2 linked regions of the Bombyx mori genome follow. The protein of the gene in region 2 interacts with the protein of the main gene of each other region in a biochemical or structural test. Links are inferred from orthologs where the notes say so. Each region holds a gene or a part of one and is shown on either strand. Other genes may lie near its edges.

The links.
Region 1: the proteins of E3 ubiquitin-protein ligase MARCHF6 (region 2) and ubiquitin-conjugating enzyme E2 J2 form a complex in vitro, tested with the Homo sapiens proteins (2 studies listed by BioGRID, with this or other methods). The link is inferred for Bombyx mori from reciprocal best matches to the Homo sapiens genes MARCHF6 and UBE2J2.

What each region holds. Positions count from the first base shown.
Region 1 is NC_085127.1:11,023,212-11,033,916, reverse strand, and holds ubiquitin-conjugating enzyme E2 J2, read left to right. Parts: upstream 1-3,966; 5' UTR 3,967-5,784; coding exon 5,785-6,450; 3' UTR 6,451-7,702; downstream 7,703-10,705. UniProt on the Homo sapiens protein: Catalyzes the covalent attachment of ubiquitin to other proteins. Seems to function in the selective degradation of misfolded membrane proteins from the endoplasmic reticulum (ERAD).
Region 2 is NC_085117.1:16,832,943-16,843,547, forward strand, and holds part of E3 ubiquitin-protein ligase MARCHF6, read right to left. Parts: intron 10,598-10,605; coding exon 10,412-10,597; intron 9,286-10,411; coding exon 9,157-9,285; intron 9,011-9,156; coding exon 8,920-9,010; intron 5,778-8,919; coding exon 5,593-5,777; intron 5,087-5,592; coding exon 4,902-5,086; intron 2,587-4,901; coding exon 2,397-2,586; intron 2,158-2,396; coding exon 2,029-2,157; 3' UTR 1-2,028. UniProt on the Homo sapiens protein: Endoplasmic reticulum membrane-associated E3 ubiquitin ligase that plays a critical role in mitigating endoplasmic reticulum stress, the regulation of cholesterol and lipid homeostasis, and ferroptosis.

The DNA.
Region 1 (10,705 bases), on a different chromosome or scaffold from region 2:
CAGTGCCATCAAATGGTATTGCTACGCGTTGGAGGAGGACATCCCGACAAGGGTGGCTATTCGCGGACTACCTGCCGACACCGACGCGGCAGAAATCACAAATTCCTTGAAGGAGCTGGGGTTTCCGGCTCGCTATGCCCGATGCATACGGGCTAAGAGAGGGAGGCCGGGGTGCGTATTTTACGTTACCCTCGACCACCTCTCTAAGGATGGCCTCGCCCGCTTGTACGCAGTTGAAGAACTGCTGTACCTGCCGGGGGTGTCAGTTGAGGGATGGCGGCCAAGCCGTGGGCCGGCGCAGTGTCACCGCTGCCAGGCCTTCGGTCACGCCTCCACCAATTGCCACCGAGCGGTCCGCTGTGTGCGTTGTGCGGGTGAGCACATCGTGGCGAACTGCCCGAGGCCGAGGGAGGGGCCCTTCACCTGCGCCAACTGCGGAAAGGACCACGCAGCCGTTGACAAACGGTGCGTGGCCTACCGTAGGAGGGCGAGGATGTTGGGTTTTACCGTCCCCCCTCCCGTACCACCGGTGCCGCGCGCCCGGAGGCCTCCAGCTCCTGCAGTACCAACACCATCTCAAGCAACTTCGACTCAAGTTCCGGCCGCTAGAGTCGTATCAAGTAAGGGCAAGGGCAAAGGGAAATCGTCCCAAGCCCCAATTCTCGCCCCAACTCCCACCTTACACTCACGGCAGCCCAACCTAGTGGAGTCGAATCCAGCAGCCTCCACACTGATGGCACCGGCTAACGCTGCCCGACCGGCCGTTAGACCTCAACCGGCACCAAGAATTATATCAAAAAAAAATAAAAAAAATAAAAAAAAGAAAGAGAAAGCCAAAGAGAGAAAGCGAGCGCAAAGACTAGCCGCCAATATCCCACCCACCCCAGTAGAGAGAATGACTCCAACTCCAATTTCTGTGCCAATGGAGGTCACAGAAGCAACGCCCCTCCCTACAACCAATACAATACCAACACCAATTGCAATCCACGCTCAGCCCCAAGAAAATTCGGTCGACGTGGGTATGACTCAGCCCCCACTACCACCCCGCCCGCAGAGGGAGCGGCGCAGCGGCAGACAGGACACGCAGCCTGCCGGCTTCGCTGCCTGGCTCCTCTCCCTGTGGGAGAAACTGTCCGAGGTGATCTCCGGAGTGATCCGAGAGATCGCCTCGGGAGCCAGTCCCTTCGGGGCCTTGCTCGCGGGGTTCTACCGGATGATTGCGCAGCTCAATGGCTAGCCAGGAGCTGCGCATCATCTACTGGAACCCCGACGGGATAGGGTCCCGGAGGTCGGAGCTCATCCGACTCGCCCAGGAGTATGACCCGCAGGTTATCCTCCTGGGCGAGACCAAGCTTAAACCTCGACAAGATTTTAGGATGCCCAACTACTTCGTGTACCGACGGGACGAACTGACCTCCAACGGGCGCCCGTTCAGGGGCACTGCGGCGCTCGTCAGGAGGGACGTGGTGCACGAGGAGCTTGAGCTACTGACCTTCGCCTCTACCAGAACGGTCGGGGTGAGGGTCCACGTACCGGGAGCCGAATTGCGGATTTATGCCGCGTATCGACCCCCGGGTCCTGATTTTGTCGAGGACGATATTAGACGGGCCTTGAACCATGATCGCCATCCGGCCTTGGTGGTCGGGGACCTCAATGCGAAACATGTCGCTTGGGGCTCCCGAATCATCATGCCGCCCGGAAGGCGATTGTACGAGGATGCCGAAAGGGGGGACTACTGCGTGGTCGGCCCCAACGAACCCACCCACGTTCCAACGTTGGCCCGGTACCAACCGGACGTTTTGGACGTGTGTGTTCACAAGGGGCTACGGTGCCCGCTAGCGATAGAGGCACTGTACGACCTGAGTACCCCTCACCTACCGATCTTGGTCACGGTGGGTTTGGGGCTCACTCGGGTCGCGACATCCCCTCTCAGGCCTAGGGTCGACTGGCAGTCCTTTACGGGACTGCTGGCCGACCAATCCTTGTTTCAAGACCCGTCTACCCCTGATGAGGTCGACACGGCGGCCTCCCGTCTCGTCGACACCATCAGGGGAGCCCTGGACCAAGTGACGACTCTGGTACCCAGCGGGGGGCCCAGAGCGGAACTCCCGGTGCACCTCAAGACGTTAATTCGTCGGAAGAGGGCACTGAGGAGGCTCTGGGCGACATCTAGGTGTCCCAGGATTAAGCGCGAGCTCAACCGACTTGAGGGTGAGCTGGCGACTAAGATGCGGACTTACCGGGGTGATTCCTGGGAGGGGGGACTGTTGGACGCGTCCGACGACCGTACGATGGTCCCCCTTCACCGCATCTGTCGCCGGCTCACCAACAAGCCTTCCCCCACTTGCCCCTTGGAGGACGAGGGGGGAAGACGGTGTTTTACACCGTTGGCTCGTGCTGAAGTCCTGGCCAACTCGCTGGAGCGGCAGTTCACTCCGAATGTCTCTGCACCCTCGATGGCTGCATTCCATCGCGAGGTGTCAGAGAGCGTAATCCAACTCCTCAAACCGGAATCGCCGGGAGTCGAGCTGGGAGATGAAGACTTAGTCACTCCCAGCGAGGTGCGCCTCCTCATCAAGTTGATGAAGAGGCGCAAAGCCCCCGGCGAGGACGGTATTCCTCCCCTCGCCTTACAAAACCTCCCTCCCTCAATCGTGTCAGCAATGACACGATTGTTTAATTCCATTCTCCGGGTAGGACACTTCCCTGGAACTTGGAAACTGGGCAAGATCATCGTCTTGCCCAAACCCGGCAAAGACAGGAGAAAGCCCTCCAGTTACCGACCGATTACCTTGCTCTCGCACGTGGGCAAGTTGTTCGAGCGGCTGCTCCTGAGGAGAATATCGCCGTATATTCTCCTCAGGCCGGAGCAATTCGGCTTTAGAAGCGGCCACTCGACGACTCTGCAACTGACCCGTGTCCTGCATCACTTGGCGGACCGGCGAAACTCGGGCCAATACACGGTCGCGGTCCTTCTCGATATCGAGAAGGCCTTCGACCGTGTGTGGCACGAGGGGCTGGTCCACAAGCTGCGGGACGCGGGCCTACCGCACGCTCACGTGCGACTGCTCGGGTCGTATCTGGAGGGCAGAACCTTCTTTGTCGCGGTCGAGGGCGCACGGTCTTCCGTGCGTCCCATTACGGCCGGGGTTCCCCAGGGTAGTGTCCTATCTCCTATCCTATACGCCCTCTATACCAATGACATCCCCACCCTGGAGGGTCACCTTCGGGCGTGGGAGGAGGACGTGAAGTTGGCCTTGTTCGCTGACGACTCGGCCTACTTCTCGTCCTCTCCGTTCCCCTCTGCAGCCATCATGAGGATGCAGAGGCTTTTGGATTTACTGCCCCAGTGGCTGGACCGTTGGAGAGTCGCGGTCAATGTGGGAAAGACCGCGGCCTTACTCTACGGTCCGGTCCGTATCAGAGTTGTCCCAAAGAAACTCAGCCTCCGAGGTGTGAATGTCGAGTTCAGGACCACGGTCCGGTACCTCGGATGCGACATCGACCGCTCTTTGAGCATGGTCGCGCACGTCAACCGAGTCATCGGTCAGGCCCGCGCGGCCATGTTCTTGTTGCGGCCGGTGTTTGCGTCCGGGCTTCCGACCAGGACCAAACTCGCCATTTAAAAGACATACGTCCGTTCCCGCCTCACATACGCTGCTGTGGCCTGGTATCACCTGTTGTCGCCGTCCCAGCGATCTAGGTTGCAGGCCCAGCAGAGTCTTTCCCTCCGCATTATCGTCGGGGCCGGGCAGTACGTCAGAAATGACGTTATTGCCCGGGACCTAGGTGTGGAGTCGCTCGTGGAGGCTGCACCCCGTAGGTGCAGCCTCATTTCCATGAAGGGCTTTGACCCCACCCCCCACCCCCTTTTGGGATGGGGTGTTCTTACCCGCTGCAGTCCTCCCCCCCATCAATATTGTATAACGATGGGGAGAGGGGGAGAGGACTGCAGCGCGGAGTGCGGATTTGCTCTCTCCCCCATATTAGGTTAAGTTAGATTAGGATTAGGTTTAGGTGTGACGGCGCGCGCTGTCCCGGCACTCCACGGAGTGCAGGAGCGGCGCGCTGTCGTCGCTTAGATGTAAGTTAGATTAAGTTAGGTGTACTTTAGGTTAAGCTAGGATAAGATAAAATTGTAAAAAAAAAAAAAAAGAAAAAAAAAAAAAAAAAAAATAAAAAAAAAAAAAAAACAATATGGAGGAGAGCAGCAGCCGCCCCCGGAAGAAGAAGGAAGAAAGAAGATGAAGAAGTGAAGACAGAAATCGTCCCACCACTTACCTCGAGCCTGTATACAGTCCATCCCGCAGTGCATCACCCCTGCCTTAATAGGCGGGGAGCTACAAGTCCGGGTAGAGGGGTTTCCCCGAGGCCCGCTCCGCGCCCCCGTAAGGGGACGCGACGACCCCACGACTGCAAATTCAGTTCGAGACAGCGAGCCGACGAGTCAAGACCTCTCCAGAAGAAGAGGAGAGAGCCGTCGAACAAGAAAAGACTCGCTCCTACGCCCTGCGCCGGTCAAGCCACGAGGACCGTGTGAACGCCATACTTGAAGCCTTCGTTATTTTCCTCGAACCAATCCCAGCACCCGTTCCGCGACAGCCACTGCGGCAATACTCGAGCCACCACGTTTCAACGAGTAAGAAGTCTAAAAATCACACGTGGTGGCCGAAACCTGAGCGGTGGCCGTCCGGAATATTAACCTATTAAGTTAACCTCTGGTGTTACGTTGCTTATTTATTTAAGCTAGTAATAATAAGCTTATTAAATCAAATTTACCCGCTGATTATTGACACCGAAAGCACATTATTGGGTGGGCTAACCAAAAACCAAAATCATCCAAAGGAATCTTTTAATCTTGGAATGCCTTGCCGTAACCACAGGTTACTATGGGATACTGCATTTTGTTATACGAAAATGCAAACAATGAATTAAGAAAAAATGTGTGTTTTATTAATTAAGTAGTTATTTGTGCAATAAGAAACTTTGCTCTCGTGTAGCACACATAACTTCTACCTCAGCAGTGAGAAAGTGAGAACACATAACTTAGGAGACATAGATGAACAGGAAAAGATTGAAATAACTAATAAATTCCAAAATCTAATTTCGAAGGAGTTTGTTTTTTCACTCGCTTTTTTATACGCATGTGAAAGAGATAGAGCACAGTAAACTTCGAATGTTTCAAATTAATGGCTGAACAATGTCAGTTCGTGGCACTGAAGATTGAAAACTTAAAAAGCTACTTTGATCCAAGCTCGAATCAAAATCGCGTTTTGTTCAATGTTGTCTCACAGCAAAAGCTACATATTTGAGCTGCTGAGGTGAAAAGGTATTTTAACGGTCTATTTTGATACATATGGTCCATTCCATTTAAAGTTTTTTTTTGTGATTATAGGTTATAAGGATAAGGATAAGATAAGGATATAAGGCTATTCCATTCAAACAAAAAATATTTTGTTTTGTAAACAAAAGTAGCTCATTTAAATATCGGTTTTACAATACATGTTTGTTCACTTTTTAGAGTAGTCTGTTAGGCTTTTCTTTTAAACGCGAGATACGTTGCACTATAAGTACCATTACTGTCAACAATGTTAAATGTCTACCTTGCTTGCTCTACTCTGTGCCATTGTGATATTGCTATTTGTCGTATGTACATTACATACCCATTTATTAACTAAAACAGATTGGTTTTAAGAAATGAAAACATTTTGTATGTAGTCATTTGCTATAAAACATTTTACTCGAAGAACTGTAAACACTCAAAAGTTAACAATTCATGTGAACATGGCAAAAACAAAGGTGACAGGAGCCACTAGCAGATTGAAGCAGGATTATTTGAGGCTCAAGAATGACCCAGTACCATATGTTACGGCCGAACCTGTGCCGTCCAACATACTGGAATGGCATTACGTCGTTAAAGGGCCGGAGAAAAGTCCCTACGAAGGGGGATATTATCATGGAAAGATTATTTTCCCAAGGGAATTTCCGTTCAAACCACCTTCGATTTACATGATAACACCGAATGGCAGGTTCAAGACAAACACACGATTGTGCCTCAGTATTACAGACTTTCATCCGGACACTTGGAACCCTGCTTGGTCTATTTCTACGATCCTTACAGGTCTGTTGAGTTTTATGTTGGAGAAGACTCCTACATTGGGGTCCATTGAAACTTCAGAATACCAAAAGCGATGTTTGGCTGCAGAATCTCTAGAGATAAACATAAAAAATAAAATGTTTTGTGAATTGTTCCCTGAATATGTAGAGGAGATTGAACAGCAATTAAAACAACGACAAGAGGCAATGTTGTTGAATCAAGACAGTGGTGCAAATGAAGTAACCTCTGAGCCACAGTCTAGTATGAATTGTATTTTGACAAATCTGTTTGTTCTTGTAGCTTTTGTATGCCTTACTTACATGGTCAAACATGTTTTAGGATCATATGAATAGTCTTAAATTTATCTTATTGAGCAAAAGAAACAAAATTCACATCTGCCGGCTGGTCTTTTGTTTTTTAAATGTTTATAATTACATTTATTTGCTCTACAAATGCAATGTACATATTGTAATTTATTTTGTAAATAATTGTTATTCAATCTTGAAATAAACCCATGTTTGACCTTAAATAAAACTTGATTTTATGTAGGTAACAATGTATAGAGTTTAACATGCATTGCATGAGGAATGTCTACTAAGGTTTTGCTACTTTTACCGTGTCATTTATTTTTAAATGTATTCAACAACAAGCCTTTATTTGAAGACCGAAAGAGCTGTTAAAAATAAAGATTGAAACAAATTTATATGAATCTTGAAAAGCTGACTATAGACAGCAATACCTATGGTGATTAATAACTAGGTATACTACTATATAACTAATTTATTGAATTGGAGTAATTGTTACGTGAGTAAATTAAATTTTATGATTTTATTTAATTTTTTCAATTATTCCCTAAGAAACTAAATTTCAATGTAAAAATATATATGGTGAAATCTAATAAATTTTTGTAAGCAGGATTTCTAATAAAGGTTTTTTTTAACAAATCTTAGTAGTGTTCAACAAAATATTTAGGCATTTTCAGTATTGTATACAGTATGCATTAAATATGATTTTCTATAGTAGAAAAAGTTGAACCATGGACCTTTTAATGCTAAAGTACACAATAATAAAGCAATACAAGGTTTAAGACTTGAATGAATATATGTCAAATCACCATAAATTGAGCAAGATATGTTTTGTTATGTATCATCATACTATTTAGATTTGACCCTAAAATGTGAGCTATTAAAACTCAATTTATAAAAAAATGTCCTTACCTGAGATTGCACATCAGAAATATTTATATTTACGGAATTCACATTCAAATGCATGCTTAATTTCTTTATACTGTTCAAAACGTTTTTATGCTAAGTATATGTTACACCTATGTAATTATTGTGATTTTATGTGATGAATCTTCGTGAATTAATATAGTGGTTTGTCATTGTTAGTAAATGCTAGCCCATTTGCCTTTTGTAGTCCAACATTTAATGTTAATATCACATAGATTAATTTAGTCTTCACTGAGATAAATTATATATACATATAAAGATATGTTGGTACATTTTATGATTTCTTGAATATTATTTATATCACTTGTAATGAGCCTTGTCGTCGTTTACGAATTTCGACCATAAATCTAATAAATTTGTACGGAAAATGAAAGGCATTTTATCTACCTTTAGGTTTGTCTAAACTTTATACGTAATGGGTTTTGAGCTCACCAGCATTAACATAGAAGTTGGAAAGCACGTATTATAGTTTTTAGAACATGCATAACTATTGTTGAACTATTGAGATGAAGAAATGTTGGAAAGGATGTTGACAAAGGTTCATATTATTTTATTCTATTCATCTGCAACATTTTTCTTTATTATGACGAAATTTACTCACAGCCCAGAAATATTACTAAGACACTTTTTATATGCAGACATGCATACGGCCCACGTGATGGTGGTAGTTACCGTCGCTCATGGACGTCAGTGATGCCAAAGGTACAGCCAAGTCTGCCCATGCTGAGGGTTCTCCTCAAAGCACGTTACAATTTTTTACTTTCAGTTTCAACTTAGCAATTTCTATTTTGTGATAAATGTCCATTTCCTATTCCACGGGAAACAGAGACTCTTACACATATGTATAAAATATATACTTATTAAATACCCAGATAAGTCGATGTAGCCGAAAATGATAAGTCACCCGATACATTCGTACTGTGACTGTAATCTAGTTCGAATCCCGCAGGCAAGTACCACAAGATAGGTAGGTACATATGTATATTAATTGAGAATTAATTTTTATTTTTATTTGGTTTATATACTATATACTTATATATATTATGGCACACATAACAAGGCCGATGCTAGAATACATTAATTGAATAAAACGGTCCGATTATCCTGGTCAGGATCTTCAGGACTAAGCAAAGGGTTTTCTTAATCACACCCATGCTTGCAATAAGCATTAAATGTAAATTGTCCCTTCGTAATAATATTACGAAGACAATTTACTTCGCTTAATACTAATAAGGTGACACTTAGGTCTATGGTGACACTACAAAACTTACGTACGCCCGGTCATGACTTATGCAAGTGTAGTGTCGCTGACGCCGCTCGCACTAATTTGAAATTTTGAAACCTCTTCAAGTCATTCAATCCCGTTTTTGCAAAATAGCCGTCGGAGTACCATGGTCTTTGAAGAATGTGGATCTCCATGATGGTCTGGAACTTGACTCGATCAGTAAGTATTATATACAGTCGGCATCAATGCGCCACTTTAAGAAGGCGGTACGACACGAAAACCCTCGTGGTCGATGGAAATTACATACCGTGGATCGAACGCTAAATCGTCCTAACACATCATTACGAAAGGGCTCGGCGATTAAATTAATCCATAGACACACCCACTGAGTTTCTCGCCGGATCTTCTCAGTGGGTTGCGTTTCCGATCTGGTGGTAGATTATGCGAAGCACTGCTTTTGCTAGGGCCAATGTTCTAGGCCAGTGGCCAGCAACATCTCCGGTTTGAGCCCCGAGAGATCACCTACATGCTAGGGTAAAGCTGATATAGCCTATCAAGGCTATCAGCATAGGTAGGGAAAAAAAAACATTTTTTTACTATTTTCTATTTTTGAGTACAGCTAGCTACAAAAGTGTATTTTGGTTACTGTTATTTATTATAAATAAAATGTACTACGCTGAGTATTAGCTTTACAGCGACACTTAATGGAACTTTGAGCTCATGTCAATCGACAACAACGAAGGGCCTCATTCATGTTGATCTGTATAGGATTTGGTAACTACAGTACACAAGATTTACCTTCAGAATGTTCACCCATCTTAAAATAGATGGCTACAATACTCGTTGTCGCAGTTAGAATCGTTGAAAATTCAAGAGTAAACTGATAAAATAATAATTATTACATATAGGTACGTTTTATTTGTTTTCTTATTTAGATATTGTTTGGTCTTGTAGTTGGAGGTTACTCTACAGCAGAGCGAGCTAGATGTTCGGTCGGAGTCCATATTTTAGTTAAAACTATTTTACCTATATATTTTTTTTGCTTTTCCTACCTAAGCTGATAGCCGTGAGAGGCTATTTCAGCGTAACCTGAACTAGTAGGTGAGCTCACGGGACTCAAACCTGACGACGTTGCTAACACGAACCCAAGCAAGAGCCGTGCTTCGCAAAATCTACCACCGGATCGGAAACGCGATCCACTGAGAAACTTAGTGGGTTAATTTACTCGTCGCAAGCGACGGGTTCGACGTGAACGATGCTTGAGGTGCTTGAGGTAAAAGCACCGTTAGTGGATCGGGAGGATCCGAAATGACGTGTTTTGGGCTACGTCGATTTTATATAAATTAAAGGTCATTGGGTAGTGTTTCTTGCCTCACATGTGCGTTTGAAATAACCATAACACAGAATTAAATTCTTATTTGGGGCCACACAATGGAGTTTGCTTTATTCATTTTTGAAGTGACACTTCTTTAGGCTCTTCGAGAGTAAAATTTAACTCGCGTCGGATTAGTTACAGCTAGAGAGAAAATATATAATTTAGGAAGACCGAGAGTGAGAAAATAGACAGAGCGTCTTTCAAACCACTCGACATTGGAGAGTGGAAAAGGACAAAGCGACCTAGGTCGTTTCTTTTAAACACTGCATTCCCCATTACAAGAGAAATTTCATTTAAGAATGAAAAAATGGCGAAAACCACAATAATACACACCGCAAAGAAGTTTCACTTCTTTCCCGTGCACGAAGTTGCACGCGCACCACTTTTTATCACAATAATTAACCACATTTTTATTTTAAATTTTATTGGCGTATAGACTTAATTACATCGATCTTTAATTTTACTATAAAGCAAATACTCTATATTATAGACCGGTTATGTAATATTGCTTTTAGTTACCTTCATAGTTAGCTTTTATATTTATAACTTGACAGATCATGATGAAGGACTTATACACATTTTTAATCACAATGGTTTCGTTTCATGGTCCTCTTATACAGATAAATACAATTGTGTAAAAGTTAGAATTCTTTAGTCTAATTTACAATCACCAAGCTTAATCTAATATACATATTTTTAAAAATAAAAACCAGCTAGAACTAGTTATTTGAATGCACTATATACCAAACTGGTGCTATTTTTACAATAGAATTAAA
Region 2 (10,605 bases):
ACTAAATAAACCACAATAATTATTTACATCAAATTGATTTCATTTACAAATTGTTATAATTCTAAAACATTTGAATACGCAATTAATGCGGTACATGCTAATTGTTACCTCAAAATTTGGAGCCTGTTTGTCTAATAAAAGTGGCTATTAATATTGTCTGATAAAGGAAAATTGATTTATTTTAAATGGACATAGTACCTTGCTGTTTTTTATAACTTATTTTACACTGTGTTGCTATTGAAATTACTATAATTGAAAAATTAAACGGATTTTGATCTCATGGCATAGCAATTGTATACATGTAACAATTAACATGCACAAATTGAAACATAAAAAATTGGCTAAATTATCGGTCTATAACTGAAAAATGAGCAGTGTAGGTTAAATGACTAAATTATAACGTTTTTTTTTTAAATCTTTTTAATTTCTTAATCTCTTCAAATCAACCAAATTCCTAAAGCTTGTCCCTATGTGTAGCCTAATAAAAAATCCGTACGCGACCCAAAACTAATTTCTAAACGTGTCTACGACGAGAGGAAAACGAAAAGTTAGGATGATATCCGCGTTGAAATTTCTACAAAAATAAATAAATTACAAATATATGGAAATATAGTCGGATTTTTAATTAGACGAAGCCAGCTGACAGTAGCTAATGTCACTTTGTGAAATAATGTTGCTATATTTAAAGTAATAGTGATGCGTTCAGTTCTCGTTCAATCACATGAATGAACAATGAGTGTGAAGAGTTAATCATTAATTTCAAACTATAAAAGAATATTATTTATATTTTACAATAAAATTGTATTAAAGTGCTCCAATATATGTTACTAGTAGTATCAGTTTTTATTTATTTTCATTACCTACCAATAATTGTTATATTTTATACATCTATAATTTCAACTATATGATGTATTGGAAATAGGACAGTCTTACAAGCTTCCTCGCAATGTTTAAAACACTCGGTATTCAGTACAGGTAGATACTATAGGAACATAATATTTCGTCGAAAACTCGTTGGTATGTACAAAGCACGCCTAAAATACGAACCCCGTACCCGATATCGGCAATTCGGCACACCAACTATTCACTAGACAATCGAGGCAATTTCATTAATTCAGGAGTTTTTTCATACGTTCACTTTGTCACAACACTATTTTTATTTCATCAAAAACTGACAACACAGTAAACGTCAGTTGACTTCGTCTAATAAAAAATCCGACTATAAATTGTGACTTCGTACGACAAGAACGGACATTGTTCCTGTCATTACAGCGATGCCGTTACAATCGCTCCTTAAAGTGAGCTTGTACTGACAAGACTTTTAAAAATGGAAGCAGTACATTTTTTTTTTAATTTCAATTAGCCTAATAGTATAGTCTGTTACACCGCCGCCCGAGAAATATCGTTTTTTTTTCACTGGTAGGCAGTGGTGTAACCGACGGGTTTTTTTTATTAAACCCCGTATTCGTGCTAAAATAATTTTGTACTGTTATTATTGAGGACGACACGCGTGCAACACTCACTGCCGCTTCGATCGACCCGTGGAACGGTGCTTTGTTAGAGTAGCGATTTTCTTTTTTTTTTAAGGAATTTTATGACCTGGTAACTAAGACCTTTAGGTCAAAGTAACGATTTTCCGGCGACGCGCCGACGACGACCGTTGGCAGTTAAGGTGACAATAAAATTTTCGTTGTATTAGAATAGTTCAGAAGAGAAGGTTAGAGAACGAGGTGAAGACGGTAAAATTTATGCTAATAATTAATACAAATTGAATCGTATATAGATATTTTTAAAATTGCTTTTCATTATACAGGTCGATGTGGGAACAAATAAAATATCAGTTCAATTATTTTTTATCTTTTTGTTTCCTTTACTAAAAGCAACCTTTTTATTTATCGTTCTTAATGGGAAAGGAGGAAAGTACGAGAGAAGTTTCGACTTCAGAATCGTCGAGAAAACGCCGCTCCTAGACAGAGGCCCTTAGAATGAGATCGATATAAATTTTTAGAGGCACGGAGCGAACAGGCTTCAGTTTGTCGACGTGACGGCACTGCTGTGCTGCTGCTTCTGTCTCCGGTGATCGTAGTTCACGAGCCGCTGACCTACCAGGTACTTGTCGTTCTTTATGTGTTCGTATAGTTTTCTGAATTGGCGGATCTGCGAATAAAGATCCGTTCGTATTTATTTAATACTAGCTCCATAGATATCTAATACTATACTAGTGGTCGCCAAGTAGTCGAAATTCGACTAGAATTAATTGAAATTATAAGTTTGAAAATTATTAAGGTTCTATTGTCAAATACTTCTGTAGTTACAGATCTCGCCAAAACGTAACGTTTTACGTAACATAGATATTATATAGGCGGTAGTGATGGTGGTGGTGGTGGTGGTGTTACCTGGAAGGCCGCTAGCGAGGCGAAGAGCGCGGCGAGGAGCAGCGCGGGGTAGAGGCGGCGCACGAGCAGGTTGCGCTGGGCGGCCCCTGACACCAGCACGGGCGCCACGCTGTGCGCCGCCGCGTACGGCACCGCCAGCGCCAGCCCCAGCCACCGCACCAGCGGGGCACCCACCGACCCCACGATAAACCTACACACACATGCACCATCAAATTATACCTATTGGAACCACACAAACAAACAACAATGTTCAAAAAACAAAGAGCTACTTAAGTTAAAAATGAATAATTAAATAGTTAGGGGATATATTATAATCAACGTTACTTGTTTTGCAAATCAATAAACCAAAGAGCCGACATACACAAATAAGAGACTTCGCGAATAACAAAACCGTCAAAGCAGTAATTAATAGGACATCTCAGATATATATTCATCTCTTTCCTGCACTAAATCAAACTGATGTTCCAACATTCGCACGACGTAGATGTCTAGGTTTTTCTTAGGCCACCTCGAAAAGATTCGAAATCCTCGTTTTGCACTTAAGACGTAAATTTAAATAAAAACGATAATTCAAACAATTTTTTTTTCTCCTACCTACGCCGAAAGTTCGGTTTTCCTCCCGCTGTACAGGGAAGAAAGTCTAACTTTTACTCCCGCTGTACAGGGTTAAAAGTGTAACTTCTCCTCCCTGGGTACTACAAGTGCACATGCGCGTCAGTGTCTACGTCTGCTCTCACGCATCTAAAATTCTCGGCCATTGTTGTGCTCGGGTAATTTGCAATATTGTGTTTAGTGTAAAGGTGAAATAAACAAAAGACAATAAAATTTAATAGTGAAAGTATTAAACAAAGATGAGTTCATCAGACAGTTCTTATTTAATTAGTAGTAGTTTATTTAAAAATTAAAAAACAGTTAAATTGTTTTTTATGAGTATGGGGAGACTCTACCCCCCCTACCCCCTACCAGGGCTTCGACCCTGGACCCCGGCTCGGTACTCTACGAACTTTCGACCTAGTAGGAGAAAAAATAGTACGTGCACCGTGGGAAAAAAGCAGGACATCTAATCCCGCGTGTTTGCCATTTTACACCCGGGTGGAGATGACCTAATTTTCTCCCTTGGTGCACAATTTACTATTTTTATTCAAGCAATGAAAAAAGATGTAGTATATTTTTCAAGTCAAGTTGAACCACGAACTAAAACCTACTATATCATACGTTCACCGTATTCGTTGTTTATTAGCGTTTCTGTTAGTATCACGTTATTTTTCACTCTAAAATGACATCACATGTAGTGAAATTACATTTTTTTTTCCTACCTAAGCTGGTAGACTTGAGAGGCTATTCCAGCGTAACCTTCACTAGTAGGTGAGCTCACGGGGCTCAAACCTGACGACGTTACTAACACGAACCCTAGCAAGAGCCGTGCTTCGCAAAATCTACCACCGGATCGGAAACGCGACCCACTGAGAAGATCCGGCGAATAACTCAGTGGGCTGTGTCTATGGGTTAATTTACTCGTCGAGCCCTTCGTCGCAAGCGACGGGTTCGACGAGAACGGTGACCGGTGCTTGAGGACCTAGAAGCACCGTTAGTGGATCGGGAGGATCAGAGATGACGTGTGAAATTACATACCAACCGAGAAATGTAAAGGTTGGCTAGTTACTTCGAAAAAATTAGACGTCTCCGCGCTACCTTATCTTATCAATACGCGATTCCTAAGATACGCCCACAGCGTCACTAGATATGCAAACATTTCAAAGCTCCTGCTTCAAACGAGGCTTGGGAAGAGTACTTTTTATTTTTTTATTGCTTAGATGGGTGGACGAGCTCACAGCCCACCTGATGTCAAGTGGTTACTGGAGCCCATAGACATCTACAACGCAAATGCGCCACACACCTTGAGATATAAGTTCTAAGGTCTCAGTATCGTTACAACGGCCGCTCCACCCTTCAAACCGAAACGCATTACTGCTTCACGGCAGAAATAGGCGGGGTGGTGGTACCTACCCGTGCGGACTCACAAGAGGTCCTACCACCAGTGATTACGCAAATTATTATTTTGCGGGTTTGATTTTTAATTACACGATGTTATTCCTTCACCGTGGAAGTCAATCGTGAACATTTGTTGAGTACGTATTTCATTAGAAAAATCGGTACTTGCCGGAGGGATTCGAACACCGGTGCATCGCAACAACGAATGCACCGGACGTCTTATCCTTTAGGCCGCGACGACGTACTTAATGGTAGGCAGCGGCTTGGCTCTGCCCCTGGCAATGCTGACGTCCATGAGCGACGCTGACCACTTACCATCAGGTGGGCTGTATGCTCGTCTGCCTACAAAGGCAATAATTATACCTTAGAATTTATATCTCAAAGTGGGTGGCGCATTTACGTTGTAGATGTCTATGGGCTCCAGTAACCACTTAACACCAGGTGGGCTGTGAGCTCGTCCACCCATCTAAGCAATAAAAAACAAAATAAAAAAAAAACAAAAATAAAACAAACCTTAAATCCATTTCTCTGATGCCGTCCCGGTACGCTTTCTCGAGGGCACGGCGCATGCTCCAATCGGGTCCCATCATCGTGAGGGCGCACATTATCTTCGTATACAGCACGCCCAGAGCCCAATCTTGCCACACGAATAACACAGGGGACTGCTCCAAGGGAACGCTCAGTGGTATTACGAGAACCTAGGTAGAAAGTCAACTTAAAGACACACACCTAAAGACCGATCTTAGAAACGAAAAATATTATGAGATATAATTTAAGCTATCAGCTTAGGTAGGAAAAAACAAAATGTGTGCAATTCACACGTGGTAGAAGTGAAACCTTCCAAAATTAAAATACAATTATCCTAAACGTCTTAAGTATATGTAAAATTTTGTCATTAGTAAATAATTGTAAGGTAGCGCCCTCTGTGAATTGATATTTTAATTTCACGTATAATCCTAAATTAAAATTCACTACAAGAGCTTTCATACACACGTTAGTATTAAAAAATCTCACAGATGGCGCTGTATTAAATAGTATGTATATTTCTGTCTCATTCTTTGCTGGCTTCATCCTACACATTTTTGTATTTGTGTCTCTTACCTGTCGTTTTTTTCCGTTGCATCCGGTTTGAAATCACAACGATTCTAAAGAAGTTTTCACTTCAAAAAAATGATCCAAAAGTGTAGATAATGTTGTAACTGACCAGTTCGAGCAGCAAGCCGAACATGAGCGGCACCAGCCCGAGCAGTAGCACGGCGGCGAGCGCGGCGCGGGCGGCCGTGCGGGCCCACACCGCGGCGCGCGACCACAGGCCCCCGCGCGCCCCGCCCCGCGCCCACCCCGCCGCCGCCACGCCCGCCCGCCCCGCCGCCCAGCTCACGTACATACCTGCACAGGACGTACTGTCATGACGGGGTGGATCCAGGAGCTCATTTTAAATAAATTTTAATAAATTTAAATTGAAAATAGTGTAAAAAAATTATATTTTATTGTAAAAAAAGCGTGGGGTACATGGGTGTTTGTTATTAGTTATAAATATTTTTCTGACAGATATGAGTAGAAGAATTATTATTTCAATCTATACTAATATTATAAAGAGGAAAGATTTGTTTGTTTGTTTGTTTCGAATAGGCTCCGAAACTACTGGACCGATTTGAAAAATTCTTTTTCCATTAGAAGCCGACACTGTCCCTGATGAACATAGGCTACTTTTTTTTTATTTAATTTTTTTGGTTTCATGTATGTTTTAATGTTTCCGAAGCGAAGCGAGGGCGGGTCGCTAGTAATCTATATATTAATACGTGAAGCAAAAACTTTGTATCCCTTTTTACGAAAATTGCGCTGACGATAGAGTATGAAATTTTCCACACTTATACAGAATATAGAGAAGAAGTGCACAATGCTAATATTTTTTTAAATAATGCATAAAAGATACAGTAAATCAATAAAGAAAACATTACACACACTACATACCATGTATTTGACGCACACACGCATGCATACTATTTATTGTCAAACTTTTGTTCTTGACGTCTGTGGTCAAATTGAGGATAGATTAAATATTGTTTTTCTTTATTGATATTTTTTAATAGTGTAGCCTTGGCGAAATTTGTGATTATAGAAGTATAAAATACAATCATAATAGTGTACAAACTTACAATTCCAATTAATTATAGTCGAATTTCGATTACTGCGGGACATCTAGTATCTTTAATGGCACACCACGCTTTTTTTTAAATAAAATATATATTTTTTTATACTATTTTCAATTTAAATTTATTACAATTTATTTTCTATTTTTTAGTTAAATTTTCTATAAAAGAGAGTTTTTAAAGCTATTAAGTACTTTAACATCAATTCCTGCCTTATCGACTATAGATAAAAATTATATAAATTGGCAAAAATCTTAATTTTCAAATTGAATAATGGAATAATCTTATCAAATTAGTGTATTGTCATCGGTCCTTGATAAATCTACAAAGTTTGAATGAATTCTGGCCGTTTAAAGTGGGTCAAAATCGCGTCTAAAGATGCGCGACAAGTGAAGCTAATACAAAGCGTGTAAAAAGGAAACTGTGGCTGACACGGAGTCTTTGAAGAGAGAGAGAGAGAGTTTGAAGTCGCCGTGGCCTAAAGGATAAGACGACCGGTGTATTCGTATCGAGCGATGCAACGGTGTTCGAATCCCGCAGGCGGGTACCAATTTTTCTAATTAAATACGTATTTAAGAAACCTTCACGATTGACTTCCACGGTGAAAGGAATAACATCGTGTAATAAAAATCAAACCCGCAAAATTATAATTTGCGTAATTACTGGTGGTAGGACCTCTTGAGTTCGCACGGGTAGGTACCACCACCCCGCCTATTTCTGCCGTGAAGCAGTAATGCGTTTCGGTTTGAAGGGTGGGGCAGCCGTTGTAACTATACTGAGACCTTAGAAATCAATCTCAAGGTGAGTGGCCGCATTTACGTTTGTAGATGTATATGGGCTATAATAAGCACTTAACACCAGGTGGGCTGTGAGCTCGTCCACCCTTCAAAGCAAGGAATAAAGAGTTTATTTTATAAAAGAAATAGTAACAAACGATGTGTGTTTCCGCTACTTAAGCCAATTCTGTTCTGCCGCGCTTTAGAAATAAATCGTCTTTTGTTTTATTCCGAGATTGTAGTTATTGTTTTTATTTGATTCTAGTATACTAAATGAAATGTTAATGAATGTAATATGGATGCAAAATCTGAAGTAAATGAAATAAATAAAATATAGAGACGATGCATTCAGGAATGCCTTAGTCTGCATTATTATTTATATTGCATTATTATTGAGGAACATATTATTATGTAACAGTACCACTCAACCTATATCTATGCATCTATATATGCAAACACATCTTTCAAAGGAATTGTCACAAATTTCAGGACATCAAATTAACTTGAAAACTTGCAAGCGTACCGTGGTCAAGGACCGTTGACATTATATCAAAACCAATTTAAAAAAAAAAAAAAAAAATTCGACAAAAAAAGATTAGTTGAGCTAACTATTATGTTTTTTATGTTTTTAAATAGCATTTTTGTTCCCTTTCTCTTTTGTTTTTATTTATTTATTTATTATTTCGATCCGTTTTTAGTTTTCAGAAGAAAAAAAAAACACTAAATTAAGATCGTCATTGTACTTTTCAATGTATATGTTAACTATTTTATTGACATCTTTATATACAAATAAAGTAAAGTGTAACTAAAAATATCCACATTCATTGAGTTAAAATGTACATTATAGTGTTTGTTACCCGTAACAGTAAACATAACCCAGTAACCAATGAACTAAAGAGACAAACAAATTAAACATTACCGGCTTTTTATTCAGAACGCAATGGAACGCAAATAAATATTAACTGAAGCGCGACCGAGGGAGGTTGTTGACCCCAAGTTTTGTTCGCCTCGATTCGACTTTTCGATATGGAACAAACTGTTTCATTTTCATGAAACCTATATCCAGCGAATAGGAACATACGCTACGTGCATCTGATAACATATTATATTAAATTAGGGAGGCAAACAAACGCAATTCGATCGAATTATCGCTTTTTTAAGTGCTCTGATCATTTTAACCGAGTTTATTATATTCGTTTAAAATTGTTTTTGTAACGAAGTTCCTTACGGGACGATGCGGAGGGGTATCCTAACCGGGAAATAACGTCCGTAACGTAAGATTTTTATTAGTAATGCACACAGTGTACGACTTAACTTTGTTATAACGTACAAAAAAGAACATATTTTTTTATCATTCATTGACCACGATCTCAGAGCGTTCGTTTGCGCAATACACCAACCAACTCTTATGCAAAAAACCGTGAATGAAGTGTACCACAATAAGTTCGCACGTTACCGAATGAACGTGGGTTGTTGCGAAACCTCCAGTTTTATTTTCTTTATACCTCGAGTAGAACTTTAAATTAATATTTTTATAATAAGGAACTTCGTTCCTATCCGGTGTCCCACGACACCACACATATTTTTTTTTTGTTTACTTACCGCATGCAGCGGTATACAGTTCGTGAACTCTCTCAGCCGCCTTAGGCATCCACAGCGCCATCACCTTTCTGCCGATCGCTACTGGAATTACCTGAAATTAAAATCAAATTATCACACAAAAAATTATTCATTGATCTAATACCTCTTACAGACGAATTTCCTAACGTAAAAAAAATCATTAATGTAAAAAAAACTGTCGAAAATAATACATTACAACAATAATAACGTTAGGCTTACAAGGGTCATTGCACTCGCTAACACGAGCGAAATAGAGACCAGCACAAGCAGCGCGGCCAACCTTAGCGGGAACCACGACACGCGGATGTAGGGCTCCACCGCCGCTGGACCGTCGCGACGCATCAGGGCCTGGGAGAAAGAGACAACATATTAAACTTTTACCGAGGCGTATTTGAAGCACGCACCACAAGGTACCACCATATCGCTCGTTTCCACCGCGAAGCAGTCACTTGACCCGCCTTTAAGCGTAGGACAGTCATTACAAAACGTAATTGAAATTTTCTCATGTCTTAAGAGAGATAACGCACGGTCTATGGGCTTATCCGAATTAGACATGTGTCGTTCGTTCAATTTTAGAGATTCAGATCAATACTGACCTGTTGACAAAATGATCCGGTTCGTACGACGCGTTCAGTCGAACGTTTCGAACGTCGAACGTTCAGTATCACATCAATTTATGACGTAATTAATATTATCAGGTCACTGGCTGGATAAAGTTTAGTATTGAATAACAGTTTAAAGGAACTGTTATAGTTCAATTGTTTACGTGAGATCAAAACAATACAAAGGCGTTATGTGTCATTATGCGACAACGAACGACTAACCGAGATGGGCGCGGGGCGAGACGCGGCAACCCGAAATGATCCGAATGACTGTCCTATCAGTCGTATGGTTCTTTTCTTCTGATTCGTAGGTTTTGTTAAACGAGTCGATCTAGTGAACGACTCATATTTTTTGAAGTGAACCTATCGTTCGCGCGGATTTTGAGACCCGGGTCGTTTGATTCGTTCGTTCGCGAACGACACATATCTAATCCGAATAGCACTTTAAAACCATCTCAAAAAAAATGGCTCATTCACATTTATGAAAAATGTTTTTTTTTTTTTTTCGTTGATATTATGGCACTCATGACTTGAAGGTCTTAGTGACCAGGTCATAAAATCCCTTAAAAAAATAATGATGGCACTAGTGACGTGGTGCATAGAGACAAGATACATGTGACTAGGAGATATATGGAAATGGTAGTGCAAGGTAGAGGGGGAAGAGGTCAACCGAAGAAAACATGGATAGTGTGTGAATGACGATAAGAGAGAGAGAGAGAGCAGTGAGTGTTGAGATGACGGCTGATAGAAGAGAATGGAAGAGAAAAATTAGCTGTGCCGACTCACCTAGTGGAATAAGGTGAAGAAGAAGATTATAGCACTAGTATATGCCTTCCTATTACACTGTCTATAAAAACAATTATTCAGCTTACTTGATGAGCGACACCGAGTTGATGAGGCAGATGTGGGGGCGGATTAGGATCGGCCTGTCGCGATATCTCGCCAAGCAGATACGATCTCAAGCCGAGGAGACCAGAAGCGCACACGCACCAAGCTCGCACCGCCATCTTTAACCACGTCCTCGTGTGAGATTGCTCCAGAAGAGCTGGAAGGATCACCTGCCGAA